Canis lupus familiaris: one gene and its partner. The protein of the gene in region 1 purifies or fractionates together with the protein of each later gene. This does not show direct contact. Links are inferred from orthologs where the notes say so. Each region holds a gene or a part of one and is shown on either strand. Other genes may lie near its edges.

Region 1 (9,025 bases):
ACATTTCAGGTTTGGCTGCCAGCATCTACAGCACCACCAGGAACCCAGTCACCATAAGAAAAGAAAGAAAGAGGCAGAAGAGGAAAGCGGCCATGACTGGGGCAGATGGAGAAGTGATGAGGCAAAAATGAAAAGAAGGAAGACATCCACATAAGGAAGCAGTGGATGGAGGGGGACCAGAGAAGTTAGGAAAGGCTCTGAGGCCTGAGTTGGAATCCCTGTGCTGATTCTCCTTTAGTTATGTTCTGATATGCAGTGTGACTTGGAGAAATTTCTTGACCTTGCTGTATTACACTTTTCTCATCCACAGAAGAGGATAATGTATAACCTCAGAGAACTGTCCTGAAGATTAAATAAGCTAATTCATGTCAAGTGCTGGTTTAGTTCACTCCCTGGTACATGAGAATGCTCCACAAGGCATCATTTAACTTCATGGGTGGGAGGAGTCATTTTGTAACAACACTATCAGCTCTCCAGTGTGATTGTTCACGATATCTATATTATAAGCTATTTCCTACTTCTAAAATGTTGTGGATCTTTTTTTTTATATATAAAAAATATTTATTTATTTGAGAAAGAGAGAGAAAGCACGAGCAGGGGAAAGGGCAGAGGGAGAGGGAGAAGCAGACTCCCTGTTGAGCAGGGAGCCCAATGTGGGGCTCGATCCCAGGACCCCAGGATCATGACCTGAGGTGAAGGCAGGTACTAAACCGACTGAGTCACCCAGTTGCCCCAATGTTGTGGATCTGAATCAGGAGAAGAAAAGAGGGAAGAGAGGAAGAAGGTGGGGAGATCTATGAGAATGAGAAATGATAGAATCCTAACATAAAATAAAAACACTCAAGTAACAACTAAGTTTGCAAAAAAAAACTCTTATGATATTTGGGGGAAGTGTTCTAACTGATAATCGGGGGGTACTACATGGTCACTGAGTGGCCAGTGCTATCTGCCATTGACTGAGCATCTACGAAGTACCAGGTACTTCACATGCATTTATTCTCATTCAATTTTCATAACCATCCATTTAGCATAGAAGGAAATTAAAGCTCAAGGGGAAAGTGAAGGTCACCCAGCTGGTAAATGTTAGAGCTAGGATTCCACCACAGGTCTGTTCTTTCCGCTACTCATCCAAGAGCCTCTCAAGACTGGCCTAAATGACATCTGCCTCTGGCAGCCCTCAAAAAGGAAACCCAGCCCAAAGCACCATGACTGGTTTGGTCAGACACATTCTGCCAATCAGGCCCACCTCCGCCTCACCTGGGCTCCCTGTTCTTTCGCACCAGACTGACAAATGTGTCGATCTCAGCAGCGGTGATGTGTTTTTCCAGGAGTTTTCTGTTATTGTGAAGCAGGGCAGTGATGGTGTCTTCGGCCAACACATCGTAGCCAATCTGTTTTTGCATGAAGCCAAACTGCTTGGCTATGTACTCCTTTTAAGGAAGAAAAGAAAGGTTGACAGAGAGACCAAAAAATATTAAGTTCAACCCAAAACTGAGGAAAACAGCAACAGTCCCTGATGAGAATGATTGTTTGTAAGGGAAATCCTAGTGGAGCATCTTTCCACAACTTTCTAATCTAGGATAGCAGCTGCAAACTCCCCCACATCCTTCATTTTACTAAACCTGCCACACAAATGTAATTAAGCAAATTATCCTGTATGTACAGATGGGCATTTTAGTAAGTGCACAGTATAAATATTAATGTGGTGACTTATTTTCCTAAAAGGTCAAAAGCTGTTTTTCAGCTCTGATTTTATTACTAATTCAAGAGGATTTAACTGTGCCTTGCTCCTCTATGCTGCTGAATAAATATACTTAAGCCTACCTAGCTATTTAGAACAATATTACCCCATTCTGTATTCTTTAACTGGGGTGAAAATACATTTTTATAGCCAATGGGTAGCAGAAGCAAGTTAGGAATACCTAAGCCAGTCAACCAGATTCATAGAACCTATGACAACATCTCTGGCTTCTCTCTTTGGGGATCAGACATGATGTTCCATAACAATATATGAGGAACTCAGGGAAGCCTCTTGAAGATATTGCTTCTTTCTATTCAAAAATATTTCCCTTCCCAAGACAATTTGTTTACTGAAAGTTCCAAAAGCCCTTGAAACTTGGCTTAATTTTTTAAAATTAATTCCAAAAACCTAAAAACTACTCAGAGTGTCCACAGTGGACACTGGCCACTTTTCAGCCCATGCTCAATAAGGATGCACATTTAGGAATTCACCAGCCCTCAAAGATACACTTATGCCAAGTGGCATAGAATCCATAAATAATAAGCAGAGATAGTCAATGTAGCAGCAGTAAGAGGGAATGGTTTGGTCTTTTCATGTAGAAGCAAAATGTGCTGGCACACACTACAGGCTCCAATGCATCCTTATCTGAAGATAGCAGAGAAAGAGAATAAAATCTCTTTGGCACTATTTGAGTATGGTATTGACACACCGCAGGTGAATTTAAAGCAATCAGAGCACCCAAAGACCACCTGTCCAGATTAATGAACGCAACATCATAGGTATAGGATACTTTTAATTTCAACAATACCAAAGGCAAAGTCAAAAGCTTAGCAATATTTGCTAACAACATTATATCTAATACTTTAGAGCATTGCTTAAGTTTAATACTATCTTCATGACAAAATATAAAAAACCTTAATTACAGAGAAAAGCTTAAATTTAAAGGCCAGATGTTGAGGCAGTCAAAAGTTTACAAACAAAAGCTTTTTGTAACACAACGCAGAGACTGGGAATCAAGGTTTTCATAAGCATCATCTATGCACCTACAGTACTTAGAGTAACATAGTGCAGGGCCTCTCAACCTCAGCACTACGGACTATCGGGCTGGATAACTATTTGCAGATGGGGATGTCCTGTGCATTCCTGGATATTTAGTAGCATCAGTGGCTTCTATCCACTAGGTGCCAGGAGCACCTCCAAGTTGTGACACTCAAAAGGGTCCCCTGAAATTGTCAAATACTTCCTGGGGGACAATATTAGTTCCAGCTGAGAACTACTAAATGTGTAACACAGTTCACAGGCTTCCTTAAAATACCAAAATAATGGGAAACCCCAGAGAGGTTAGAACATTTATTTCATGGGGAGAGGATAATATATATAGTGCCATGACATAGACAAGGACTTAGAATGTCATAAAATATGAGCCAAAATCAAAATAAAGTTACCAGCAGACATGTAGACTATGGAAGGGAGCAGGAAGAAAAGATTCCACTCTTCCTTTAATATAAACCCATGTAATCATTTTCCATAAGGCAATAAAAATGTAATACCAATGCCAAAAGAAAACTCTCATTGAAAGGTGGCTGCAGAAGGGAACTTCTCTGGCATCTTTCTTAAGGACTCTATCTTCTGAGGCTTGCAAAAATTTATTTCCTTTCTAAGCGTGAACTTAATAAACTAATCTCTAGTCATTAAGTAACTATAGATGTGAGACTTAAAACTCATGAGGCGAGTACATGAACTTCAGGGATGAAGCTGCCCATTACTTCCCATCCATCCCGAATACCAACCTGGTTTTTTCTGTAGTCTTGCTGGGAGTGTCTCAGGACCCTGTAGCAGAGCCGGCAGATATGTCTGAATGGGGCATGCCGCTGATCCCCAAGCTCCTCCAGCCGCAGCATGGGGCCATCGCCACAGTCTGTGAATGGGGCTTGTAACAACTTGAAGATCTGATTGTGAGAAGGAAGAATGAATGCTGCCATCATTTACAGAGTTAATGGCTAACCCTTGGTCTTAAACTAATACAACCTCACAGGTGGTGGGACTGCACAGGCAAATCTTTCTAGATCAACATCAATAATCTGAAAATTACACACAATCCATCAACTGAGACTGGCTACTCACTGAATTCAGGCCACCTGGACCTTATTGGTCCTCAAACACTTGCAAGTGTGGTGTGTAGGGCAGTGGTTAAAAGTATAGACTTTGGAATTAGCAAATTTTAAGTTGAACTCACTCCTGCATTATTCCCTAGTGGTATAAAGCACAGTCAAGGTAGCTTTTGGTTTTCTCATCAGTAAAATGGAAAGAATATCACTGAGTTACAAGGGGGTCTTAAGGATAAAGTAGATAATAATTGTCAGTTGCATAAATATAGTGCTCAGTGAAGGTTTCTGCCCTGGAATCTGATCATTCTGGCCCCTCAAGGAATTACCACTGTGGAAATGAGCATTGGCATTAAGCCAGAGGTCTAATCTGGGAGTCATCCCATGGAACAGCTGGACATAATTTATTCTTGGACTGGAAATCCTTGCTGAAACATGATGGAGTTTTAATAAATTTTGTCTATCATCAACTGACAGGAGAAAGGATTCTCAAATCCCAAGTTCCCATGGAGAACTACAGGACTAGTAATGAATAGGTTTCTCTTTGGATTTTAGTGGCCAGGAATTTCTAAGCCAAGTATGTAGCCAATATATAGCTGTAGAGAACTATATGGTATGCATTTCTGTGCACTTCATCTACTCTTGTCACTTACCTCCCTATAATTTATCTTTACACCATTTTATTTAAATTTATACCAGGTAATACTATCTATATTTGTCCAGTAAGCCATTTATTCATTCTTTATGGTAAGATTTTGTGATGGTTTATAGAGGTCACTATTTATCAAATACTCCAAATCTTCCCAGACATATGAAATAACCTTAAGGACACAGAGAACTTGTTAATGTTTTTGACGAAAATGAAGTCGTCAAGTGAACACTTCTTGGAGTTCCCAACAGGTAAATTCTCACATGTTGATAGTCAACTAGTATGTTTTCAACTGAACTGAGCTAGGAAGCCATGAAAATTTACAGAGGAATCTTAGATGCATATTACTAAATGAAAGAACATAGAACTAAATACTGTATGATTCCAACTATATGACATTCTGGAAAAGGCTAAACTATGATAGCAGTAAAAGGATCAGTGGTTGCCAGGGGTTGAGGGGAATGAGGGATGAATAGGCACAGTACAGAAGATTTTTAGGACAGTGAAAATATTCTGCATAATACTGTAATAATGGATATGTAATTATACATTGGCCTAAACCCAAATAGTGTACAAACACCAAGAGCAAACCTTAATGTAAACTATAGATTTGGGGGGATTATGATGTGTCAATGCAGGTTTAACAACTGTATCAAATGCACCACTACAGTGGTGAATGTTAATGATAGGTAAGGCTATGCATGTGTGTGGGCAGGAGGTATAAACTTTGTGCTGTCCACTCACTATTGTTATGAACTCAAAACTGCTCTATAAAAATCAAGTCTCTTTTCTTGAAAAGTCAGTTGATCAAGCCTTCCAGGTGGGAGCCATCCATGCTCTCTGTAAAAGCAGTGAGCCTACTGATTTCTTACAAAGACTGCAGGTATGTCGCATCTCACAGACCTGCCTGAGGATATTCTGTTCTCTCATCAGCTTCTGCCGCTCCCTGTTGGGCTTGGAGAATACCACTTCAAGTACGTCTTGACCAGAGTTAGTGCCACCAGTGACAAAGTAAACCAAGTCTTCCAGTAGCTTGGTTACAGACCTTAGGGAGAAAGAAGCTATTAGAGATGGGGAACAGTCAACATCCAATAGGTTGGAAGCTTCACCTTAGAAGACTTCGGCCCTGATGAGTCAAACACAAGCAGATCCATTCTTCCCAATTTCCTTAAACATGACAACCAATTACCAAAAAGAGTAAAATACACACAACACATTATTGTCCACAAAAGGATAACCACCTTCACAAAATATAAGCCATCAAATTTTATTTCAGAGTAACACTGGCCCCTAACATTTACTTAGGTAGCCCCAGAGGCCAAATTAGAGACAAAGAAAAAAGATGATCTTTTCAACTTTAGAGACTCAAAGAAGTCAATGTGGTTCTTGAAAATCACCAGTAGAAGCCACATATAAAGGCTAAGGCCTGTTCCTCTCACATAAAACTGTTCACAGTTGGCATTTAGTCTTTCTGCAGCAAGGGATTAAAAAAAAATCCAGGGGCTGAGGATGAGTGTGTCTGGTTCTTGTGGGAAGCCTCACCTTCTTTCATTCTGGGTGATGGTGCCTTTCTCCAGCTTCCCAGCTATGGAGCCCAGCACTTTGCTGGCATCATTGGCAAAATCCAGGTCCCGAACTTCAGCAGGAGAAACTGGAACTATGGCAAAAGCTTCCTTATCCTCTTTCACAGGGGAGGTGCCAATCTGAAAAGCAAAATGGTCTTCATGGAACTGTCTTTTGGATTGAGAAAGCAAAACTTCAAACAAGCACTATATTTACGGGACACTGGGCTATCCAAAAAGCTGGAGCTATACCTTGCCGTTAAAATCAACAAGACATAGGAACATATCTGGAAAGAAGTACCTCAAATCACTAACAGTTGTTACCTCTCTAGAGATTCTTACTGTGGGGAAGCATGAAGCAGAAAATGGGCTCTGGTATCATTTCCTGCCTCCATTCATTCATTCATTCATTATTTATTTATTTATTTATTTATTTATTTAAGATTTTATTCATTTATTAGTGAGAGACACAGAGAGAGAGAGAGGCAGAGACACAGGCAGAGGGAGAAGCAGGCTCCATGCAGGGAGCCCAACATGGGACTCAATCCTGGGTCCCCAGGATCACACCCCGGGCCGAAGGCGGCACCAAACCGCTGAGCCACCCAGGCTACCCCATACCTCCATTTATTAAAGGAAGCGTGTTAAGACTGTTGTAATTTAAAAACATGTTTATAAATACATAAGGAAAAGGCAAATAAGCAAAATGGTAATTACTGACTCAGTTTTATAAGGGTAGACAATGTACCATTCCTTCAATTTTTCTATATACCTGAAAATGTTCATAAAAATAGAAGAAAAAAATTCCAACAACCTCCCCCATCACTAAAAAAAATTTCACTTTTTAAAAATAAAATCCCTATGTTTGTGAATTTATGTTCTATGACCCTGGAAAAGGTAGTGAAGGAGAGGTGGGCCTCTGGGAGAGAAATTAAAGGGGCTGAGAGAACTTTTAAAAAAATGTATATTTAAATACACAGAGAGATAAAGAAATAATAAAGATTGGGGAAAGCTGATTAGGTATCTGATGCGCCTCAAGGCACAAGCAAACATTCCCTGAGCTAAAATCATCCTTCAAGCAGACAAGAAATCCAGACAATTGCTCAATCTTTAGGGCAAAAGCCATGGAATAAAAAGTTCTGGTTATTTCAAAAAGCCTGGGCTTGCTTTAGCCAGGTCCCATGGAGAGAATTCTTTCATTGCATTCAACTTTGTCCATGACCACACACTGGCCAAACCAACAAAACACAGCTCCCTATTCCCCCATCTGTTCTCAAAGGAGCTTTTTCATTAGGGAGCACAAGACCAAAGGAGACAGCCAAGTTCCAGAACTTACTTTAAGCATCACGGGTTTCTCTTCTTCCTTGTCAATGGGGATATTTGTGCTGTGAACCCAGGTATTAGTGCACAGGTGTCTCAGCCGGACATAGGAGTTTCTAAAGGGGAAAATAAAGAAAAAGGATTTGGAGGACAGGAATTTTTAGGTTCTCTATAGCCCCTGGCCTAAAATATATTCTATCAAAATACAGAGGGATACCAAAATGGTTTTTTGCTACATACACTAGACAATATAGACTAAGGAGAAAACGTCTGCATACTGAGATGTATTCTAATATGCTTACAATAAGAAATCATAATGATTCTAACATTGGAATATGCTGTATTTCTAAATACAAGATCATTCCTATGAAAAAGTATCTCAGAACAAACTGAGCATAAGACAGGGTAACAAAAAGTATTTACCGAGTATATATTAACATGTATCATGAGAGATGATGAAGCAACACTTGAAATTTTCATATGGATCAATAAAGCAAAAAATAAAATTACTAGGATAAAATGAGTTAATATTTAATAATCTTGTGGTAGGGAAAGCCATTGAAACATTTGGCAACATACTAGGGTCATAAATTTTAAAAGATGGATACACCTTAAAATACAGTTTAAATTTTATATCTTCCATAAAGAAAAAAAAATCATGAACAGAGTTTAAAGAGAAAGGACAGACAACCTGGGAAAATGAAAGAATATCACATGGCATATAAAGGTGATTAATCTGCATTTATAAGGAGATCTTTAAAATCAGTAAGAAAAGAACATCAATACTGGAAATGAAAATGAGACAAAAACATAAGCCAGTAATTTAATAAAGCAAAATATAAATGGCCAATAAACTTGGAAGTATACATTCAATCTCCTTTGTATACAATTTATACAAATTAAAACTATATATCATCTTACTGTATCATATTCCAAAGATCTTAGAGACTGACATAACCCAGTATTTATAAGAGCTTAGGGAAATGATCTGTCCTCACTCCTGGTGGGAACACTGGAAGGGAGTCTGGCACTTTATAAAACAAGTACAATGTATCTATCTTTTTATCTAGCAATCCCATTTTTAGATTTTTCACTTAAGAGATGACAGTACAAGTACAAATAAAAACAAAGCATTATTTACAATACTGGAAAACTGTAAACAATCCAATGTCTCAATAATGGACTAATTATAGTACATACACTAGAATATTAGTTATTTTAAATGATTATAATTGATATATACTTGGAAATGTATACAAAATATATTCAATGGAAAATGTAAAAATGTCTCATAATTCTATTTATAATAAATTATATACATGTTATTTGTGTGCCCAGAGACCTAAAACTACATAAACCATAATGTTAACAGTTATCTCTCAATAGTAAATTTTACATAATTTTTGCTTCTTTGCTCTCCATGACACTAACAAATTTTTGTAGCTGTTGTTTTATAGTGAACATGGATAATTTTACCATGTTTTTCAATTTTGCTTTAGGGAAATAGAAATAATGGCTTAGTTCTTGCATCAGGAATCTACCACATTAGTGAGACAAGATCAATGAACATCAAGCAATAGTAAGTAACAGGAAATGCACATTAAAAAACATTAAGTTGGGAGACAGTCAAGTCCTGAAGGACTTTCAGAGG
Region 2 (9,544 bases), on another chromosome or scaffold:
AACCCATCCTCCCCTAGCATGGCTCAGAAGCAGGCTGTGGGGGAAACAGCTGCTGAGGCCTGCTGCGGCCACCAGAGGCCTTCTTACCAAAGAGCTCAATGTAGACCTCCTGAAGCGTGTGCACACTGCAGAACTGGTTCAGTTCATGGTGGATCTTGTTGAAGATGAGGGCCTTGTCGTAGTCAGCAGTATAGTTCTTCACTATGTCATACACTGTGAGGGAAGGAGGGATTGCGGAGTAAGAAAAGGCAGGACTCTCTTGCTCAGACCCAGCAGCTCTCTCTGCCCGGGGTGGGGGACATGCTAGGCAAAGTAAGCTGAAGGTGAAGGTCAACTGGAAAAACGTACCTGCATTGGGGACCAAGAAGTTCACCACTTCAATTCGGTCAAAGTAGATCATTACACCACCACTGTTGGGGGAAGAATGAACAAAGAGGTCACCAGTAGGCTCTGGAATATAGTGCAGTCTCTGGGTGATGGCATAAGGTGTGTGACTTGGCAGCAAAGGAGCAGCAGAGTTCATGGGAGGCCAGAAGCCAGGATGGATCTCCAAGTAGGAATCTTCTGAGCTTAGAGAAAGAACACAATCTCCCAGAAAACCACACCTCCTGGAGTGCCTGGGTGGCTCAGTCAGTTAACTGTCTGCCTTGGGCTCCAGCCAGAGTCCTGAGCCCTGAGCCCTGCATCAGGCTTCCTGCTCAGCGGGGAGTCTGCTTCTTCCTCTTAGTCTGCCCCTTCCTCCTGCTCATACTCACTCTTGTGCATTCTGTCTCAAATAAGTAAAAAATTAAAATCTTAAAAAGAAAAAAAAAACCACACTTCCTTAAAATATCTCCATGAGGAGAAAAGTGAAACTTCTGGGGTGCCACTAAGAAAAGAATAGTTCGTATCTTTGGAATCTGCAATGCCTTTTGATTAAAGCAATCAATTGAAGGGAAAAGTCAAGGAATTCTCAGAGCTTAGAAGGCCACAGTGGAATTTTATGGTCACCATTTCTCACTTTGTCTTCACCATGACTTTGTTTCAGCACTTCCCCTTCCCTGCAAATATTCATTATAAATAATTTTAAGCAGACAGAAATATTGAAAAAATAGTACAACTACTGTCCATACACAAACACCTATATTGAGCAATTAACAATTTTACCTTACAGATCTGCATTTTCATGCTGAATATTTCAAAGTTCCAGTCATGATACTCTTCCCCCTTAAAATATCAGTAAGCAACACTCACCAAGGAATAATGACATTCTCCTATGTAGTCTAACTCTGTTCCCAAACCTAAGAAAATTAGCAGTAATTCCTTAACAGCGTCTAATACCCAGTCCTTATTCCAGTCTCCCCAATTTTCCTGTTATGGGCTGAATTGTGTGCCCTTCAAAAATCAACTTGCTGAAATTCTAAATAAAACCCCCATGTGACTGTATTGAGATAGGGCCTTAAGGTAGTAATTAAGGCTCCATGAAGCCATAGGTGGGGCCCTAACCTGATCGGCCTGGTAAAGGCAAAGAGGCAGACACCAGAGATTTTCTCTCTGTGTGCATGGAGGAAAGGGCACATGAGGACACGGCATAGTGGCCATCTGCAAGCGAGGAAAAGAGGCTTCACTAGAAACCAACTTTGCTGGCACCTTGGACTCTGAGTTTCCACTCAGTCTGTGGCACTCTCTTATGGCCACCCGAGCTGACAGTCCCCCTGTGTCTTTCATAGATGGTGTTCTTGAACCAGGTTCTAATTAAGGCTCATCATTGCTTTGTTAATGTCTTTCATGTCTCCTTTACAACCCAAAGCTCCTCCTTGTGATGCAATCAGGCCATTTGTCCTGTGTGATGCCCTAATCCTGGATTTGCCCTCCTTGAATGTTTCCCTGTGGTGGTGTTTGTTACTCTATTCCTTTTTTCTTTTCTTAAAGATTTTATTTATTTATTCATAAGAGACACACAGAGAGAAGCAGAGACATAGGCAGAGGGAGAAGCAGGCTCCCTGTGAGGAGTCTGATGCAGGACTTGATCCCAGGACCCCAGGATCATGCCCTGAGCTAAGGGTAGATGCTCAACCACTGAGCCACCCAGGTATCCCTCTTACTTTATTCCAATTTAGATCTTTACCTTCCAATCAGACTACCAGACTGGTGTTCTGCTTGGATTTCCAGACCCCCCAAGGTCACCCTCCACCTTTACGACATTCTCCATAGCTGGTTATGCTAAACGTACCTTCTTCTATCAAGTCATTTATCTGCTAAAAGCTTCTGGTGGATCTTCACTTGTCACAGAAAAAGCCCAAACTTACCACAGCATTCAAGGCCCTCCCAAACCTGTCTACCTTCTGTGATTTTCCCTACTGCACTGCACTGCCTAGTCACACTGGCACCTAGCGAGCCAGAAGGCAGGGAACTTGGTGGAACCACCCAGAAGGAATGCTTCTCTTCACGGTCTATAACTGTAGCCAGATGGCCCTCCCGCTAATGCAGGCTTGACTGCTTCACTCCAGGCACCTTACCTAGTTCCGCATGGCACGTTCTTCACCTCATCTGTCTGCAGTGTGGTCTAGAAATAGAAGAGACATAAAAGGATGTAAGATGGGCAGTGCTGAGCAAAGTAGCTTAGTTTTGGAATCCCAAATGGCCTGGTCCTTGAGGTTAACTGGGTTGAGCTTTGCCCTTGTTAAACATGAACACTCAGCCTAATCTTTATTTACACAGAGTGTGAGGCCCAGACGAACAAAGGTACGCAAGCCCAGCCTCACTGTAAGTGAATCATCACACGAAAAAGCTGAGTAAAAATGGTTTAATGAAAACAACCCTGGATTAGGAGTCTTAAGACCCATCTTTACCTCTGCTGTCTTCTTTACTAGTCTCAAAACAAGAGGATTCTGTATTTAACCTGGCTCAACCCCTTCTCAGAATTACTGTTAGACTCCTGAGATCCTGGGCATAAATGCACTCTGAAAACCATCAAGCACAGGAAATGGCAGAAGAAATGAACAGAGAATGCTGATGAGGTGCTCCAGGATATTTTCCTGGGTCAGTTTAAAAGTCATTTTCTAAATCTCCTTAACCCTTGTAGCTGGACATACTTCAAAGATGGCTAGTTTAACTTAGCCAGGCTTTAGATCTATCATAACTAATCCTACTTTTCCTTCAAATGTCATTTCCCTTCACCAAGTCCAACTTTCCTTTCCCCTAACCCTCCAAATTATGTTTACATCTATGAAGTTCAAACAAGAACCAGCAAAATTACTGTGTTTCATTTCCATTTATCTTGGTAGCCTGTGATTTAAACACACAGACACACACATCCTACTTCTCCTTCTATACATTCAGAACTGATTCTTCTCTGGCTCTACCTTGAAGTGAAAAAATAATTCCCAGCTGGGAGTGATGGGCCAATGCAATGACCCCATTCAGCTATTTCAACAGTCAAATAAAGCTCTAGAGTATGTGGTTCATGGAGCCTCATTCTTTATATATATATATATACACACACACACACACATATATATGTATATATACATAAACATATATATATATCATATATATCTACAGGACATAGATCCTATCAAGGAATCCTGTATATATGATTCCTTGAAAAGGCATTATACTCATGTAATGGGAAATAATTCCAAATCATGTGTTGGTAAACACCCCAAACCTGCAGTGGCTCAAACACACCCTACACACTGAGTTTACCTGCACAGACTTATATGAGGTGATGAAAGGAAGCATGAGATGGAAACCTGGGCCGCTGGTAGAAGTCAGGAGGGCTCCACCTCTGCAGAGGAGGAAGAGAGAAACAGTTTAGCAAGAGGTATTGATCACAGCAATACTATTTGCACTGACTTTCTCTATAGTCCCATACATGTTTCATACAGTGACACGTGCCTGAGCCATGTCCACAGACCCCTTCCTCTCAGCTCAACCCTCATATTATAGGAAGCCTGATAGTAAAACATAAAACCATTATTCATGCTTTTGCAGCAGGAAAATAGGCACATGGGCTAGGCGGAATGAAGACAGCAGGATCCCCGGCAATCCTTAACAGATGAGAAGTTTCACTTGGTCATATCCATTGCGGCAATCCATGGGGGCGGTTAAGTCCAGTAATACAATTATCCAATCAACTGCAGTAATGTTGGAGTCCAGGGGCACGAACAAGCAAAAGAATAATTTTCAGAATGCTTTAAAAAACATATATGTACTTTTTTTTGGGCAGAATTACCTTTATAACCAAGTTATGTGTAAAGGGTAACAAAATTAAAGCCTTTTTGGGGGACATATGAGCAGAATGTGGGGAGAAATAAAGCAGAGAGTGGAGCCCAATGAGGCTTCCAGAACTTGCTACTGGCAGTCCAGGAATAGGCATCTTGGGCATATATAAGGAGGAATTCATAAAGACTTAAAGCAAAAGACTTGGTCATGGAGGTTACTGGAAGGAAAGCAACCCAAGATTTAGAAGTGCTTCTTTGCTTTGTATTATGAAGAAAATACACTATTTTTTTTTTTTTTTCAAAAAAGAGAGTAACAAAATAGACAGTAACACAACTGGGTTCCTTTCTTGTAAGAACTACTATCCTAGGGCTTGCCTTGACAGATATATGTCAATCTGCAGGATTCTTCTTTTTTCTTGAAATGTTAATTTTAATGAGTGGGTACAAACTAGCGGAGCAGGCCAGCTCCTCAAGTGGCCATCATGAACTGGTGCTCACTGGAGGTAACTTTGTGGCACCAGGATGCCTGCAAGGGATATAGGGGAAAACAATGTTTCAGGGATGATCTGCAAGCACTGGTTTCCTTCAGATTTTGTCTCTAAATCTCTATACACATTTATGGTTCGCCATCCATGGCATCAATGTAAGATTAAGTTTTATAAATGTATATGAGTGTGGGTGTACACCTGTTTCCATGGTCACTGACACAACAGCTCAATCTAAAAGACTCCTCTACTCAATATTCACAGATGTCCAATAGAATCGGCCAGTGACTAGGAAAGTCATTTAACAGGAAGTTGCAAGCTTCTTCCTGTCTCTTCCTTACCTGTAATACACCCCAATATGTCCCTCTTCTATCTTGTGCACAGCTGAGAAGAGAGATGCACAAAAGAAACTGGTAGCCACAGCCACAACTGCTCCCAACTGAGCCATCAGCGAACCTGTATCCTGGGGAAAAAGACGCAGGAAAATGTGTGTGGCCCGACATGCACGAGAAAAGCCGTGACAGGAAGAGCCCCTCACTAAGCTGAGCTTCCTGCAAGTGGCTCAGACCCAGCCTGTTGAAGCCTGAACACAAGGCTACGCCAACAACCCGCCTCATGCTTGCTCTCAGGCAACGTTCCCACTCCTTCCTTCACTGTGGGATTATATTCCCTACCTCCTTGAGGAGGCAGTGGCCCCAGAGACAGCCGGGCCCGAGAGAGAAGCAGAGCCAACTGGGCAGCGTTCAGAACACAGCCTTCTCTTCCTGGGAACACGAATGTGCTGTCACTGGAGACACTCCTACTAGTAAAAGGGAAGAGAGGCAGCTGCAGTAGGTTGCCCAAATTACAGAGGATGTCAAGTGACAGGCAGTTGTGGCTGTGTAATGCTGGTCAGAGCCTGCCGTCCTAATTGCCTGCCACTCCAAAGGAAACCATTATTTACTCCTTTCAGATGCTGGGGCGACAGAGGCAGCATGTGAGCAGAGTTGCACGGTGGGGTTCTCTGGCCTTCCGTCCACCTTCCCAGTTATTCCTTCGGCCCTAAGCGGCAGGGGAGGGCTCTGAATACACCCTCCCGTACACTTGACTGGCACTTTGCACCCGACGGGTCCCCAAGCGCAGGGTTAGAGCAGAAGAGGGCTCCCCAGGGTGGGAAGACCGGGGTCCCGGGTCCCAGGGAGTGCCAGCGCCAGGAGGACAGACAGCTGGCGTCCAGGCTCATTTCCCGGGCCCTGAAGGATCTGGAAAAACGATGGCAACGGAAGAAGCTCCCAGTCAGGCGGCCCGGGGGCCCCCGCGCGGGGCGTGGACCCCGCCTCCCGGGGCTAACAGGACTCGGGCTCGGACATCTGCAAGGCGCTGCTTTTACCGTGACCGACTCCAGCTACCGATCTGCAGCTGCGTCCTGTCTGCAAGTGCCCCCCTCCCCTCCCCTCCCCTCCCCTCCCCTCCCCGCCCCTTCCCTGCCCTCCCCCGACAGGGGGTCGCGCGTCCCAAGCGCTCGGGGCTCGCGGGGAAGGGACGGAACAGACAGGGATGGCTTTCTTGGTCCTGAGGGAGGGGGGTGGCTGGGCCCGGGGCCCGGGAGGACCGCTGAGAAGCTCCGGCCGGGAGCCGCAACTAGGCCCAGCGCGCACGCTAAGGGGCGGGGGCCGCGTACCAGGCTGTCCCTCCAGGCGCTCCGTACTCGTCCGAACCCCAGGGCAACCGTAGAAACCGCCACGCCCTCCACACGCTACTTCCTTCCGGGCCCGTCGCTCTGATGACGCCATTAGTTCACGCGAGAAGAGCCCCCACCCTTAGCGCGCCAGCCCCGCCCCCGCGCTCCGACCTGTCGGAGTCCGCGCATGGGCACCAGGCGGCGCCCGCGGCTGGGTCCGGCGGGTCAGGACCTGGGTTTAGGCTTCGCGGGTGGGGACGGTGCGCAGCGCCTGGAGGGTGACGCGGCGGAGAACGCTAGTGGCCGCGGTGCTGAGTGACTGAGGGTGTCGCTTTCCGAAGTTCCAGCTTCGGAATTTGCTCCGGATCTCCCCGCCCCCCGCGCCCCGCGTGTGTTGTTTTTCGGAGCGGGTACAGCGAGCTGCAGCCCTTCTCGCCCTCTGCTCGCGCTTTTCTACGGCGCGGCGGAACCTAGCACATCTTTTAGTGCGTGCATTAGCACCGTGACCTCGTTCATCAACAAACAGTCCCTATTTGGGATTGCCCTTTATGCTTTTTTTTTTTTTTTTTTTTTTTTTTTTAGGATCCTTGGCCTTTGAGGTCCTCACGGCACTATTTCAACAGCTGAAGAAGGAATTATTCGAGTTTTAGCAGAATCTTGAGCTCAGTGAGGCGCGAGGGTGACAGTGGATGAAAGCCTCCTTGGCGCTTCTTAACCATCGGGAGCTTAACTGCCTTTGTAACACCGGCCAGCTTAGCTTACGCCGCCCCCCCCCCCCTTACAGGACTGTAAGCTCCCTGAGGGCAGGGGCTGCGTCTGCACTTCCCGTGCTCAGTAAGTGCACACTGGAGGCACCGTGGCATCAGGAGCAGGATCCTGACCTCGAGTGTCCTGGTCTGAGGGCTTCACATTGTCCGCAGCCTTGGCTGTTCAGCAGCAGCGCGCTGGGGCCTTTCTAATTCAGCTGCTGAAGTTATTTTTGTTTGCAGGAGAGAACGTCCACTTAATTGCAGCCCTCAGTAAATGAAAAGCTTTTACACAGAGAAGATGGCAAGATGGTGGTGGTAGACAGATTCAGGACACAGGCAAAGGAAAGCATAGGTTTTCCAGGCGTATCTGCTTGGAATTCACCCTGGGTTTGCTCTGGATGAGTCTGTGCTGGGATGCCTTGGCATTGAATGGTGAAGCCCACACGTGGCTGCCTGGTGCTGCTGCCTGGGCACTCGGTGTGCCCACCTCTGTCAGTGAGGGCTCTTGTCTTAGCCTGTGGCTACAAATCCCCCCTCCTCCCAGCTGGCCAATCTCCTGATCCATCCTTTCGGCACCTAAGGGCTTTTTGTCTACGGGCTCAGTGATATAATTCAGCTGGTCGCACTTAATACGTTTATTTAATAGTTGAGTGAATGAGTCAGAAAAATGGAAATATTGAGGTTTATCAGCCCAAGCGATGGGCCTTCATGTGCAGCATAAAGGATCTGAATTAGTTGTAATTTAAGAATTTCCTGACTGTTCAACTTTGGCATGAACTGTGAGTGGAAGTTGTGGGATTCTGTTCTCAAGAAGCTTTTTGCCAGGCCTGAGCTATTTAACTGTGGCATTGCCTAGAGGCTGGGGATGAACTTCAGTAGATGGTCTAGCATTTCTGAAAATCATTTTCTTAAGGCCCCCTGTGATTTTTCTGACAATATCCAGCATTATCAAGCAGCAGGTAAGCCTGTGATGATTTAACAAAAGTGTTTAAAAACCCATTTTTAAAAAACAACTTGTGGTAAAAGAGTTGCGGTTAAGTGTAGATACTCCACAGTCAGATTGCTGAATTTGAATCCTACCCCTTCACTCCACTCCACGCCTCCTGTTAGCTGTGTGACCTTGGAAAATGAATTAATCTATCTGTGCTCCAATTTCTTTATCTATAAAATGGGGGCAATAATAGTATAAACCTTCTAGGACTGTTGTAAGCAATAAATGGCTGATCAAGGAAAGCACTTACACAATGAGATAACACTTCACACCTATCAGAATGGCTAGACTCAAAAAGACAAGAAATAACAGGTGCTGGCCAGGATGTGGTGAAAAGGGAACCCTCATGTGCTGTTGTTAGGAATGTAAATTGGTATGACCACAGTGGAAAGCAATATGGAGGTTTCTCAAAAAATTAAAAGTAGAAATACCATATGATCCAGTAATTCCATTACTGGATATTTATCCAAAGAAAATGAAAACACTAATTTGAAAAGATACATGCACCACTATGTTTATTACAGCATTATTTACGATAGCCACGATGTGGAAGCAGCCCAAGTGTCCATCCCTAGATGAATGGTAGTGGCGTATGTGGGGTATATATACACAAACGTTATTCAGCCATAAAACAGAATGAAGTTTTGCCACTTGTAACAACATGGATGGACCTAGTGGGTATTATGGTAAGTGAAATAAGTCAGACAGAAAAAGACAAATGCCATATGATTTCACTTATATGTGGAATCTAAAAAACAACAAATGAACAAACAAGCAAAACACCAGGCTCTTAAATACAGAGAACAAACTGGTACTTTCCAGAAAGGAAGTAGGTGGGTGGATAGGTGAAATAGGCAAAAGGGATTAAGAGGCACAAACTTCCAGTTATAAAATAATTAAGTCATGAAGATGAAAAGTACAGCATAGGGAATATGGACAATAATATTGTAATTATGTTGTTTGGTGACAGATGGTGACTACACTTATCATAGTGAGCACTGAGTCATGTACAGAATTGTTAGATCACTGTGTTGTGGACATGAGACTAATATGACATTGTATATCACCTATACTTCAAGAAAAAAAGCATACACAATGTTTGGCACATTTTAAGTCTTCAATAATGTTAGCTGTTGCTGCTTTAAATAGCAAATTCCTGTAACATGTTCTTGTCTGTTTGTGGATTTGGATTATTAATGTGACAGAAGGTGAGAGAAGGATAAGCTTAAAGTTATGTGGTATTGAGTAATAACCAAATGAAGGCTTATCAAAAGGAGAGATAAGGGACTCTGAAATTCTACTTCAACAGATATTTATTTACAATACAAATTTCGAAGCATTATCTAGTGCTTTCCACGTACCAGGCCCTATGCCATTCTCATTTTATATGATCTTGAGGTCAGCCCTTTGAGATCAACTCCATGTTAGAGGAGGAAGTTAAAGCTTGGAGAAGT

Evidence for each region.
Region 2: the proteins of ITPR1 (region 1) and ERLIN2 purify together in Homo sapiens (affinity purification with western blotting, with the first as the bait; 4 studies listed by BioGRID). This does not show direct contact. The link is inferred for Canis lupus familiaris from reciprocal best matches to the Homo sapiens genes ITPR1 and ERLIN2.

What each region holds. Positions count from the first base shown.
Region 1 is NC_049241.1:12,984,239-12,993,263, forward strand, and holds part of ITPR1 (inositol 1,4,5-trisphosphate receptor type 1), read right to left. Parts: intron 7,491-9,025; coding exon 7,391-7,490; intron 6,199-7,390; coding exon 6,038-6,198; intron 5,541-6,037; coding exon 5,399-5,540; intron 3,691-5,398; coding exon 3,532-3,690; intron 1,431-3,531; coding exon 1,258-1,430; intron 1-1,257. UniProt on the Homo sapiens protein: Inositol 1,4,5-trisphosphate-gated calcium channel that, upon inositol 1,4,5-trisphosphate binding, mediates calcium release from the endoplasmic reticulum (ER).
Region 2 is NC_049237.1:28,370,820-28,380,363, forward strand, and holds the start of ERLIN2 (erlin-2), read right to left. Parts: upstream 6,054-9,544; 5' UTR 5,667-6,053; coding exon 5,634-5,666; exon of another isoform or gene 5,365-5,633; intron 5,154-5,364; coding exon 5,032-5,153; intron 3,770-5,031; coding exon 3,688-3,769; intron 2,546-3,687; coding exon 2,499-2,545; intron 411-2,498; coding exon 349-410; intron 214-348; coding exon 88-213; intron 1-87. UniProt on the Homo sapiens protein: Component of the ERLIN1/ERLIN2 complex which mediates the endoplasmic reticulum-associated degradation (ERAD) of inositol 1,4,5-trisphosphate receptors (IP3Rs) such as ITPR1.